2 linked regions of the Macaca mulatta genome follow. The protein of the gene in region 1 purifies or fractionates together with the protein of each later gene. This does not show direct contact. Links are inferred from orthologs where the notes say so. Each region holds a gene or a part of one and is shown on either strand. Other genes may lie near its edges.

Region 1 (5,044 bases):
TTGACATATATACTATACAAAACTAAGCAAAAGCCACGGTAAAATAAGACTCTAAATGATAAAGGGCTTGATTATTATCAATAACTTGAACTGAAGGAGAACTCAGAGGCTAAATGACTACTCGAAGTCCAGAGTTGGTGGCAGCAGGACAGAGATCAGAACTCAGGCTTCCTGTTTCCTGGCCCAGAACTTTTTATACCAAACATTAAAGCTCCATTTTGTCAAGGTCACCAAAGAGTGAATAACATTAGTGTAATGTACATTAAAATACCTACAGAATACAGTATAAAAAAACAAAGAGCAGGCCGGGCACAGTGACTCATGCCTATAATGCCAGCACTTTGGGAGGCTGAGGCGGGTGGATCACTTGAGGTCAGGAGTTCGAGACCAGCCTGGCCAACATGGTGAAACCCCGTCTCTACCAAAAATGCAAATATTAGCCAGGTGTGGTGGCTCATGCCTGTAGTCCCAGCTACTCTAGAGGCTGAGGTGGGAGAATCACTTGAATCCAGGAGGTGGAGGTTGCCGTGAGTCAAGATCATGCCACTGCACTCCAGCCCAGGGGACAGAGCGAGATCCTGTCTCAAAAAAAAAAAAAGCAAAATGACTGACATTCCATTTGTCCTTCTGCGTTAAGACTAATTATTGTCTTAAACAATACATTTAGCCTTGATTAAACAAATTGAATGTCACAAGGAAATGAAAATATGTAAATTGGCTGGTCGTGGTGGCTCATGCCTGTAATCCCAGCACTTTGGCAGGCGGAGGACGGAGGATTGCTTGAGACCAGGATTCAAGACCAGCCTGGGCAACACAGTAAGACCTTGTTACGACAAAAAATTTTAAAAATTAGCAGGGCATGGGGGTGCACGAGTATAGTCCCAGCTGGGAGGCTGAGGTGGGAACGTTGCTTGAGCCTGGGAGATTAAAAGGCTGTAGTGAGCCATGATCACGCCACTGCCCTCCAGTGTGGGTGACAGAGCAAGACCCTGTCTGAAAAATAAAACAAGACAAAAAACAGGCCGGGGCAGCAGCTCACGCCTGTAATCCCAGCACTTTGGGAGGCCAAGGCGGGTGGATCACTTGAGGTCAGGAGATCGCGACCAGCCTGGCAAACATGGTGAAACCCCATCTCTACTGAAAACACAAAAATTAGCCGGGCATTGTGGTGCATGCCTGTAATTCCAGCTACTCCGGAGGCTGAGGCAGGAGAATCATTTGAACCCAGGAGGCGGAGGTTGCAGTGAGCCAAGACTGCACTACTGCTTTCCAGCCTGGGCAACAGAGTGAGACTTTGTCTCAAAAAAATAAATAAATAAAAATAAAAAACAAAAACAAGAAAAAGAAAATAAGTGAATTCGCTTAGACTTTTTCCCTTCAAACAAAACAATTTAAACCAAAACAAGTATACACATGGGGTACAATTATTGACAAGCTAACGTGGAGCCTATGACGTGCATGGGAAGCCCTATGAAGTCTGAAGCCTTAATTTTTTTTAATGCCATAGTAAACTTTCCCAAGGTGAGGAAAATGGAATTCAGGAATGCACAAAGCATTCAGCATTCAGTTTAAATGGTGAAACAAGATTCCTATCTCATGAGCAGCTTCACACACAACGAGGCTCTCCCTTGCTCATCCCAAGGACGATGAGAAAGGAGTTCTTCCAAGGCAAATTCATCACTCTGCGTGGGAAATAAACGTGTGGATAAATGGCCTGTCCTTGTTCTGTGTATGTTTATTTTACTTCGTGTGTGATCATTCGGTGTGTTGTGGGTGGCCAGTGCAGAACACATGACAACAGAAATTTTGGCGCACGTGTGCAGAGCTGAGCAGCGGTCAGTTCCAAACCACAAGGGATGCCACCTGAAGTAGCCTCTGGTGGTTATCTGCCTGGATCAGTGTGGAGAACTGAATTAATGTCAATTAAATAAAAATCTCAAGTTCTGGCCGGGTGCAGTGGCTCACACCTGTAATCCCAGCATTTTGGGAGGCCGAGGCAGGTGGATCACCTGAGGTCAGGAGTTTGAGACCAGCCTGACCAACATGGTGAAACCCTGTCTCTACTAAAAATACAAAAAAATTAGCCGGGCATGGTGGTGTGTGCCTGTAATCCCAGCTACTTGGGAGGCTGAGATAAGAGAATCACGTGAACCCAGGAGGGGAGGTTGCAGTGACCCAAGATCTGGTTGCACTCCAGCCTAGGCGACAGAGTGGGACTCTGTCTCAAAAAACAAAAACAAAAACAAAAAAAAACTCAGGTTCAAGGTGCCTTTTCTTAAAAGTTGCTATCCATTTGCAGCCCACTCCAGGTGGCTAATCCAAAGGTTAAGCAACTAAAAGAGACTTTTAAGAAAATCTACCAGGCAGGCATGGTGGCTCACGCCTGTAATTCCACTATTTTCGAAGGCTGAGGCAGGAAGATTACTTGAGGCCAGGAGTTCGAGATCAGCCTGGGTAACCTAGGGCATCTATGTTTACCCCATCTTTACAAAAAAATAAAAAAAATTAGCTGGGCATGGTGACAAGCACCTGTAATCCCAGCTACTTGGCAGGCTTACGTAGGAGGATTGCTTGGGCCTAGGAGGCGGAGGGTGCAGTGAGCTACGATCATGCCATTGAACTCCAGCCTGGGCAACAGAGCAAGACGCAGTCTCAGAAAAAAAAAAAAAAAAAGAAAGAAAAGAAAAAAGAAAAGCTACCATCTTATTTTCCACCTTGGACTCATGGATCAACTGCCCTACAAGACTGAAATCTGGGGGTGTGGAGTGAAGTCTTAGTCACCTCATGTGCCCAGCACAGTGGCCAGCACATATCAGTGACTTGGTCAATCTGTCTGACTGAATCAATGAATGATGAGTGAATAAATACTAGTAATACTAAAATTTAACTAACTTGCCACATTCAAATGCTTCCTGGTTAGCACACTGGATGACAACGAACAGATAGTACATAAATGCTGACAGTGTCCATCAAACAGGTGACAGAGGCTTAACACACTATGAGACACCCACTGCCTTCCGGTTTCCAGCACCAAAGCAGTGTGGCAAAGAACGCAAACCAATGTTGCTTTCTTTGGAAAACATAAAAAGAAGCGAGCCATTCATAGTCTTTTTTTCCGTCTTTTGCCAACCAGAGGAGTGAAAGCAAATCTGTTCACTCCATGCTGGAGCAGTTCTTTGGGCCGTGGATGCCGTGCCCAAAGGCCACCACCTGCAAGTAGGTTGGGGCGTCCAGCCTCCACTGCCAGCAGAAGTCGGCCTCCTTACCTGCCGTCACCTGGGCTCGGCCCCTGCTCCAGTATGCCTGCAGAGGAGGGGACAGTCCCACCCCCAGAGCTGCTTTCAGCCCTAGAGCTCTGGGGAGGGGGCTCTGGGCCAGCGGGCGCCACGGTGCTGCCATCTGTAGGTGGGAGTGGCGGCTGGAAAGCAGGGGATATGTGCTTTCTATTTAGAGTGCCACCCCGCCGGTGGGCCTGGAAGTCCATAAGCTTCACACCAAAGCTACACAGAGAGAAGAAACAGTCAACACACCATGCGAGCAGACTACTGAGACAGAAGCCCATCGGTCCACATGAGTTAAAACCACACATGTGGACAGCCACCCAAGTTGCCCAGCATGCATGAAGCGGCAAGAACCAGACTAATGGCCACCCCCGATACCAAGGCAAGCAACTCTACTTGGCTTTGAGCCCGAGCAAAGCCAATGACCCTGGTACTGTTCAAAGTCTTTGATCAATTTGGGTGTGAGCAGCTAGAAGCAAACAGGCAGGCCTCATCTTGAATGACACCATATTACTGTGTTTATCCCCATACTTCCTCTGCCTTTTTTTTTCCCCCCCTTTAGACACGAGGTCTCACTCCACCACTCAGGCTGGAGTGCTTAGCACTCCAGCGGAGCAATCATAGCTCACTACAGTGTCAAACTCCTGGGCTCAAACTATCCTCCAGCCTCAGCCTCTGGAGCAGCTTGGACTACTGGCACACATCACCATACTGGGATATTAAAAAAAATTTTTTTTTTTTTGAAACGGAGTCTTGCTCTGTCACCCGGGTTGGAGTGCAGTGGCGCGATCTCGGCTCACTGCAAGCTCCGCCTCCTGGGTTCATGCCATTCTCCTGCCTCAGTCTCCCGAGTAGCTGGGACTACAGGCGCCCACCACCACATCCGGCTAATTTTTTGTATTTTTTAGTAGAGATGGGGTTTCACCGTATTAGCCAGCATGGTCTCGATCTCCTCACCTTGTGATCTGCCCGCCTCGGCCTCCCAAAGTGCTGGGATTACAGGCGTGAGCCACCGCACCCAGCCAAAAAAAAAAAAAAATTTTTTTTTAGAGACGGGGTTTCACTACATTGCCCAGGCTCTCAAACTCCTGGCCTCAAGTAATCCTCCTGCCTTGGTCTCTCAAAGTGCTGAGATTACAGGCATAAGTCACCACGTCTGGCCCATTTCCATACTTCCTAGTTCCCATCTCAAATCTGTTTTTGGGGAATGAAACAGAAGTCAAGTCCAGAAGGCCTACCAATGGTAGTATAAGGTTATCACACCACACTGCCTCTTAACTGAGATGAGATGTAGAAACAACCCTATGTGCATATGCAAACCCTACATCTGAAAGACACAGAAGGCTGGAAAAGCTGGGCGCGGGGGCTCACATCTGTAATCCTAGCACTTTGGGAGGACAAGGCGGGAGGATCGCTTTAGCTTGGAAATTCAAGACCAGCCTGGGAAACATTGTGAGGCCCTGTCTCTACAAAAAACGTTTTTTAGAAAATCAGCTGGGTGAGGTGGTGTGTGCCTGTCAAGTGGCTGAGGTGGGAGAGCTGCTTAAGCCCAGGAGGTCAAGGTTGCTGTGAGCCATGTTCATACCACTGCACTCCAGCCTGGGCACATAACCCTGTCTCAAAAAAACAAAAAACAAAAAGACTGGAAAAAACTGTTGCTTTGAGGAAGGGAATGGTGGCTGGATGCGGCTGGAGGATAGGGTGGAAGGAAGGCTGACTTTTCACTTAAGCCCACTGATCTATGAACTTAGCAACTTTTTCTT
Region 2 (4,337 bases), on another chromosome or scaffold:
GGCAACACAGTGAGACCCCATCTCTACAACAACAACAAAAAAGAGCAAAGTCAAGGCTTTAAAAAAAAAAAAAAAAAAAAGCTATCAATCCAATTTACAGATCCGGAAACTGAGGCCCAGAGGAATGCCCGCTAGCAATTCTTTGATCATTTTGTCAAATTTACCCAACATATTGGTTAGGCAATGACTTCCTAAAAGTGGGTTTTATAACAGTTTAGAAGCAGTGGAAGGAGTGGGTAGAGGGCTGCCCAAGAGTGCTACGGAGGGTGCACTCAGCTGGACTCTCACGTTTGATTCACACCAGCCATGGGAAGGAAGAATCAGAAAAATCAGTCCCCAAATGCAAAAATGGGTAAATAGAAGTGAAGCAGGGCCCAGGAGAAGCAACAGCACCCAGATTGAGTTCCGGCTACTGAATCCCTACAAGTCACAGGAAGAGCCCTCAAAATACTCAGCAGGTGCCACAGACAAGACCTGGAAGCAAGCTGCATACAACTGAGAAAACTCCCAGGAGAAACGCGGACATTTGGTTCATGCTGGGGAACTACACGTTTCTGAGTATCTTCCCAGGACTGTCCCTGGCTCTGCAGCAGCCAAAGGCATCAGCCCTCATGACCCTCAGGCTCCAAATCTCAGCCGATTCCCCAGGGGCTTCTTGCCAAGCTCACAGCGGGAGGTCAACATGGCCAGCAGGAGATGCGGTGGGCAAAGCAGCAGCGCACAAGACCCCTAGCCTGGGTGGTCACTGGCTCTTCTGGGAAGGAAGAGCCAAGCCCATCAGGTCTTGGCTGGACTGCACAAAGGAGAAAGTTCCAGAGCCAGAATCAAGTTAGACACAGGAAGTTAGAAGTGAAATGGTGGAAGGCGGAAGGAGCAGGGGGCTCATTTAAGGGACAGAGCTTGGGAAGGTCACGGCCAAGCACCCTCGAATCAGCGCTTGGAGACAGAGCTCGCCTCTGTGGGAGGGAGGAGTCGTCCTAAGCAGACCTGGCTGTCAGGGTTTCTACGCCAGGACGCCCCCAGTGGGCGGCCAGGTAACTGCACCATCACAGTGTACCTTAAAAAGGGTTTTTTCTCAATGCCACGATGGAAATGCCTGATGGCCCCACTGTGAGGCTGACCGGAGTCTTGGGCCTTAAGTTGGCACACACAGACTAGACTGGTGCACTTAAGTCCCACGGCCTTGGAAAAGCAGCTCCGCCTGGTTTTCTAAGTGCCTGACCCCCACCTCCACCTTGGAAAGCCTGCTGCACCCCCTTCTGGGGTGGGCCTTCAGTGTGGAGCCCCTGGACCTGGACTCTGCAGCCCCAGCTGGCAGGGTTCCAAATGCCTTCTTTTACAGACAAGTTTCCCTCCTGCTCTCCAGGGATGCTGCCTCCTTCCCTACATCTGGATCTGTCACAAGCTCAAGTCATGGTTCTTGGCCATTACCAACAAGCAAGACTATTTTCCTTTCCATCCGCAGAACCTGTTTAAAGGAACAGCTGCAGCTCGTTAGGGGCGGAAGGTTATGCTGGTTGAGGCCGAGTCTGCACTGGGCGTCCAGGCAGCTCCAGCAGAGCATCGGGGCCGGCCGGGGTGGAGTCCAGCCCTGACTCTGCCCTCCAACCCCAGAGACTCCGAGATCAGAGCGGAGGTCACCCCTTCCAAGCCAGCTAGCCCTGGACAGCCAATGTACCGCTGAACAGGGGCTTATAAGGCTTCTAGGATCCCTGCACCAGCATCCGAGGCTCCTCTGAAGCATGGGGAGTGGACAGCACGCAGACCCCTGCCCTGGGGACAGTCAGGCCGGTGCACACAAGGGGCTGCTGCTGGAGAGGCAGCATCCGTCCCTTGGCCTGGGTTTTTTCAGAAGCAAAAGCCAAAAAATCAGCCGTCTTCCCCACACCCAACCTCCGCCCAGAGTGGAAAGCGCACACACGTGATAGGTGCCGTGTTACACAGGGCCGCGGCTACACGGGAATGCGGCTGCGCACCGGCCGGGAGCACACGTGGGGGTTAGTGGTGTTTTAAATGGCCGCGCAGCAGCAGCCGGACCGGCAGGGTCTCGGCGGGTTGGTGAGTCCTGTTTTAGTGGGGAGGGTCTCGCGGCTCTCAGGCAGGGTACCTGGATCGGCTTAATTATCAGGCTGGATGTAGATCTGGCGCTGGGTCAGCACTTGAGAGAGCTCCCTCTGCAACTGCTTAAACTTTTGGTTGTCAGGGATAGCATCAATAGATCTACAGAGAGTGTTCAAGATGAGTGGAGTGGGAGGGAAGAGAACCACGAGAAGCCAGGAACGCAGGGGGCCACAGCTGAGGAGGAAATTCAGGGAGACCCACGAGGCGGAAGGGGGGTGCCGCAGCGGCTCTGGGCTGTAGAGTGGTATCACCGCTGCAGAGGCCCACGCTGGCGGTGGCCGTGGTTTTCAGGGGCTCGCCACCACCACCCATAGGCTCTTCCGCTTCTCTCCCCCACTTCCCAGCCACTGCCTGGGGACTGTGTAGGTTGGCTGGGCGGGAAAGTGCGTTTGGTGTATTGGGCAGTGGCTGCAGGTGGCAGGCCTAACACCACGGACCACTGGGCTCTGACCCTGTCACAGGTCATGAAGACCAAACCTCCCCCAGGTGGGCAGGAGATCAGAAGACCAGGGTCCAAAGAGGAGGACTCCTCTGTTTTAAAACTATAAAGCAGGCGACTGAAATCTGTCACCCACCCCAGTCCATGAGCTGGTGCAGCAACAGAACTGCAACCTGCCTCTCCTCTGGGCTGGGCTGTGAGAGCTATGTCACGGCAGTGGGTGAGAGGGCTGGCTGCTAAGGGCATAGCATGGCCCGACTCACATGGTGCTGCTGGACTGCAGAGCGTGTTCTAGATTCACCATCTCAGCCGACCCTGCCTCCTCCATCGGACAAGGGCCTCTTCGAGGAGTGCCAGAGGCCACACAGCTCAGGATGACAGAGCTTAGGGGAGATCCCAGCCTCCTGACTCCAAGGCCAGTGCTCACTCCACAGCTGTCTACTGCCCCCAGCTGGGCTCTGGCCTCATGTCAGAGGCCTGCCTCCTGCTCTGTCCACCATGGACCTGGAGGGTCCAGAGAGCCCCCAGCTTTTGTTCAGGCTGACACTGCAGAGACGAGGGCACGAGGTGGGTGGGACAGTGCAGGACATTGGCCACTGGTAGCAGAGCCCTGGCAGAGGACGTCAGAGAGGCTGGGGGCCCCCTGAGAAGGCCCGGGCTGAGGGCCCTGCCTGCACATTGTGCTCTGCTGTCTCGGAAAGCAGGCCAGCCAGAGGCGGCCGGGCTGCCTGGGATGTAGTGTCATGGCTCCCCTAGGCCCAGGCTGGAGGGGCTGGGCAGATTTTTGAGTGGGGACTGACAAACTGCAGGGCTGAGGAGGCTCTGGGGGCAAGGGTACCAATGGCTGCTAGGGTGAACGTGCCCCAGAAAACGGTACAGGTAGGGACCGACAGCTGCTACTGAGAGTGCAGATGACACACCAGGACTTTACTTTCCAAAATCACCATCATGATCATCCTAGAAGAGGGGCACTGCAGCCTGAAAATGAGAAAACCGAGGCCCAAGACCACACAGCTAGTAACTGGCAGAGCCAGGGTTCAAACCCCTCTTTCTGCTTCTAAAGCGTGTGCTTTCTGGTACATTACCTCAGCCCATTGACGATATCCTTTGTTTTTCCAAAGTAGATCTCGTTCAGCGTACTTCTGATTTTATTTTCCATGTCCTGGAAGGGAGGTCGGTCAGCGCCTTGGCAAACGGTCAGGAACCCTGAGGCCAACGCCCTCTCTCCACCCGCCAGCCCTGCAGTCCCCACTATGGCCACTGGAGGGCAGCACACACCTGCTCTGGGGCACGGGTGAGCGGGCTCCAGGCTGCCAAGACCCCACCTGCCATCTGTGCTCCAGGCGCCTTCCCGTCCTCAGGAAGGGAGGAAGCCAGTACCCAGGTATTGGCGGCCAACTCTGCCCATGCCTGGGAGCTGGTCTAAACCACATCACCGCCCCTCAGACTCCCCACTAATTTTGTGAACAATTCTGTGAAACCGGAGAGCACCTCCCTGCCTTCCCAAACAACGTGGTGACAGGAGGGCCAAGGCAGCCGCAACTGAAGCCACTCCAGGGCCCACTGGCATTTCTGGCATCTGCTTCCTCTCCCAGCGCAGGGCCCTGTTCACACCCAGGCGATCAGGGGAGACAAGACCTAGTGCGCCCCAGAGCCAGCGCCTGAGCAGAGTCTTCTGGGAGCCCGGGTCGGGGGGGGAGCAGGAGGTGGCCCTGAAGCCACAGCCTGCTGGCATCCAAATCAGAGGCTCCGAAAATATGAGGCCAGGGCAAAATCC

The links. The genes of interacting proteins can lie anywhere in the genome.
Region 2: the proteins of ARHGAP17 (region 1) and CAPZB purify together in Homo sapiens (affinity purification with mass spectrometry; 3 studies listed by BioGRID and IntAct, with this or other methods). This does not show direct contact. The link is inferred for Macaca mulatta from reciprocal best matches to the Homo sapiens genes ARHGAP17 and CAPZB.

Annotation. Positions count from the first base shown.
Region 1 is NC_133425.1:24,493,669-24,498,712, forward strand, and holds part of ARHGAP17 (rho GTPase-activating protein 17), read right to left. Parts: intron 3,501-5,044; coding exon 3,267-3,500; intron 1-3,266. UniProt on the Homo sapiens protein: Rho GTPase-activating protein involved in the maintenance of tight junction by regulating the activity of CDC42, thereby playing a central role in apical polarity of epithelial cells.
Region 2 is NC_133406.1:221,631,128-221,635,464, reverse strand, and holds part of CAPZB (F-actin-capping protein subunit beta), read right to left. Parts: intron 3,723-4,337; coding exon 3,646-3,722; intron 2,221-3,645; coding exon 2,118-2,220; 3' UTR 2,108-2,117; intron 1-2,107. UniProt on the Homo sapiens protein: F-actin-capping proteins bind in a Ca(2+)-independent manner to the fast growing ends of actin filaments (barbed end) thereby blocking the exchange of subunits at these ends.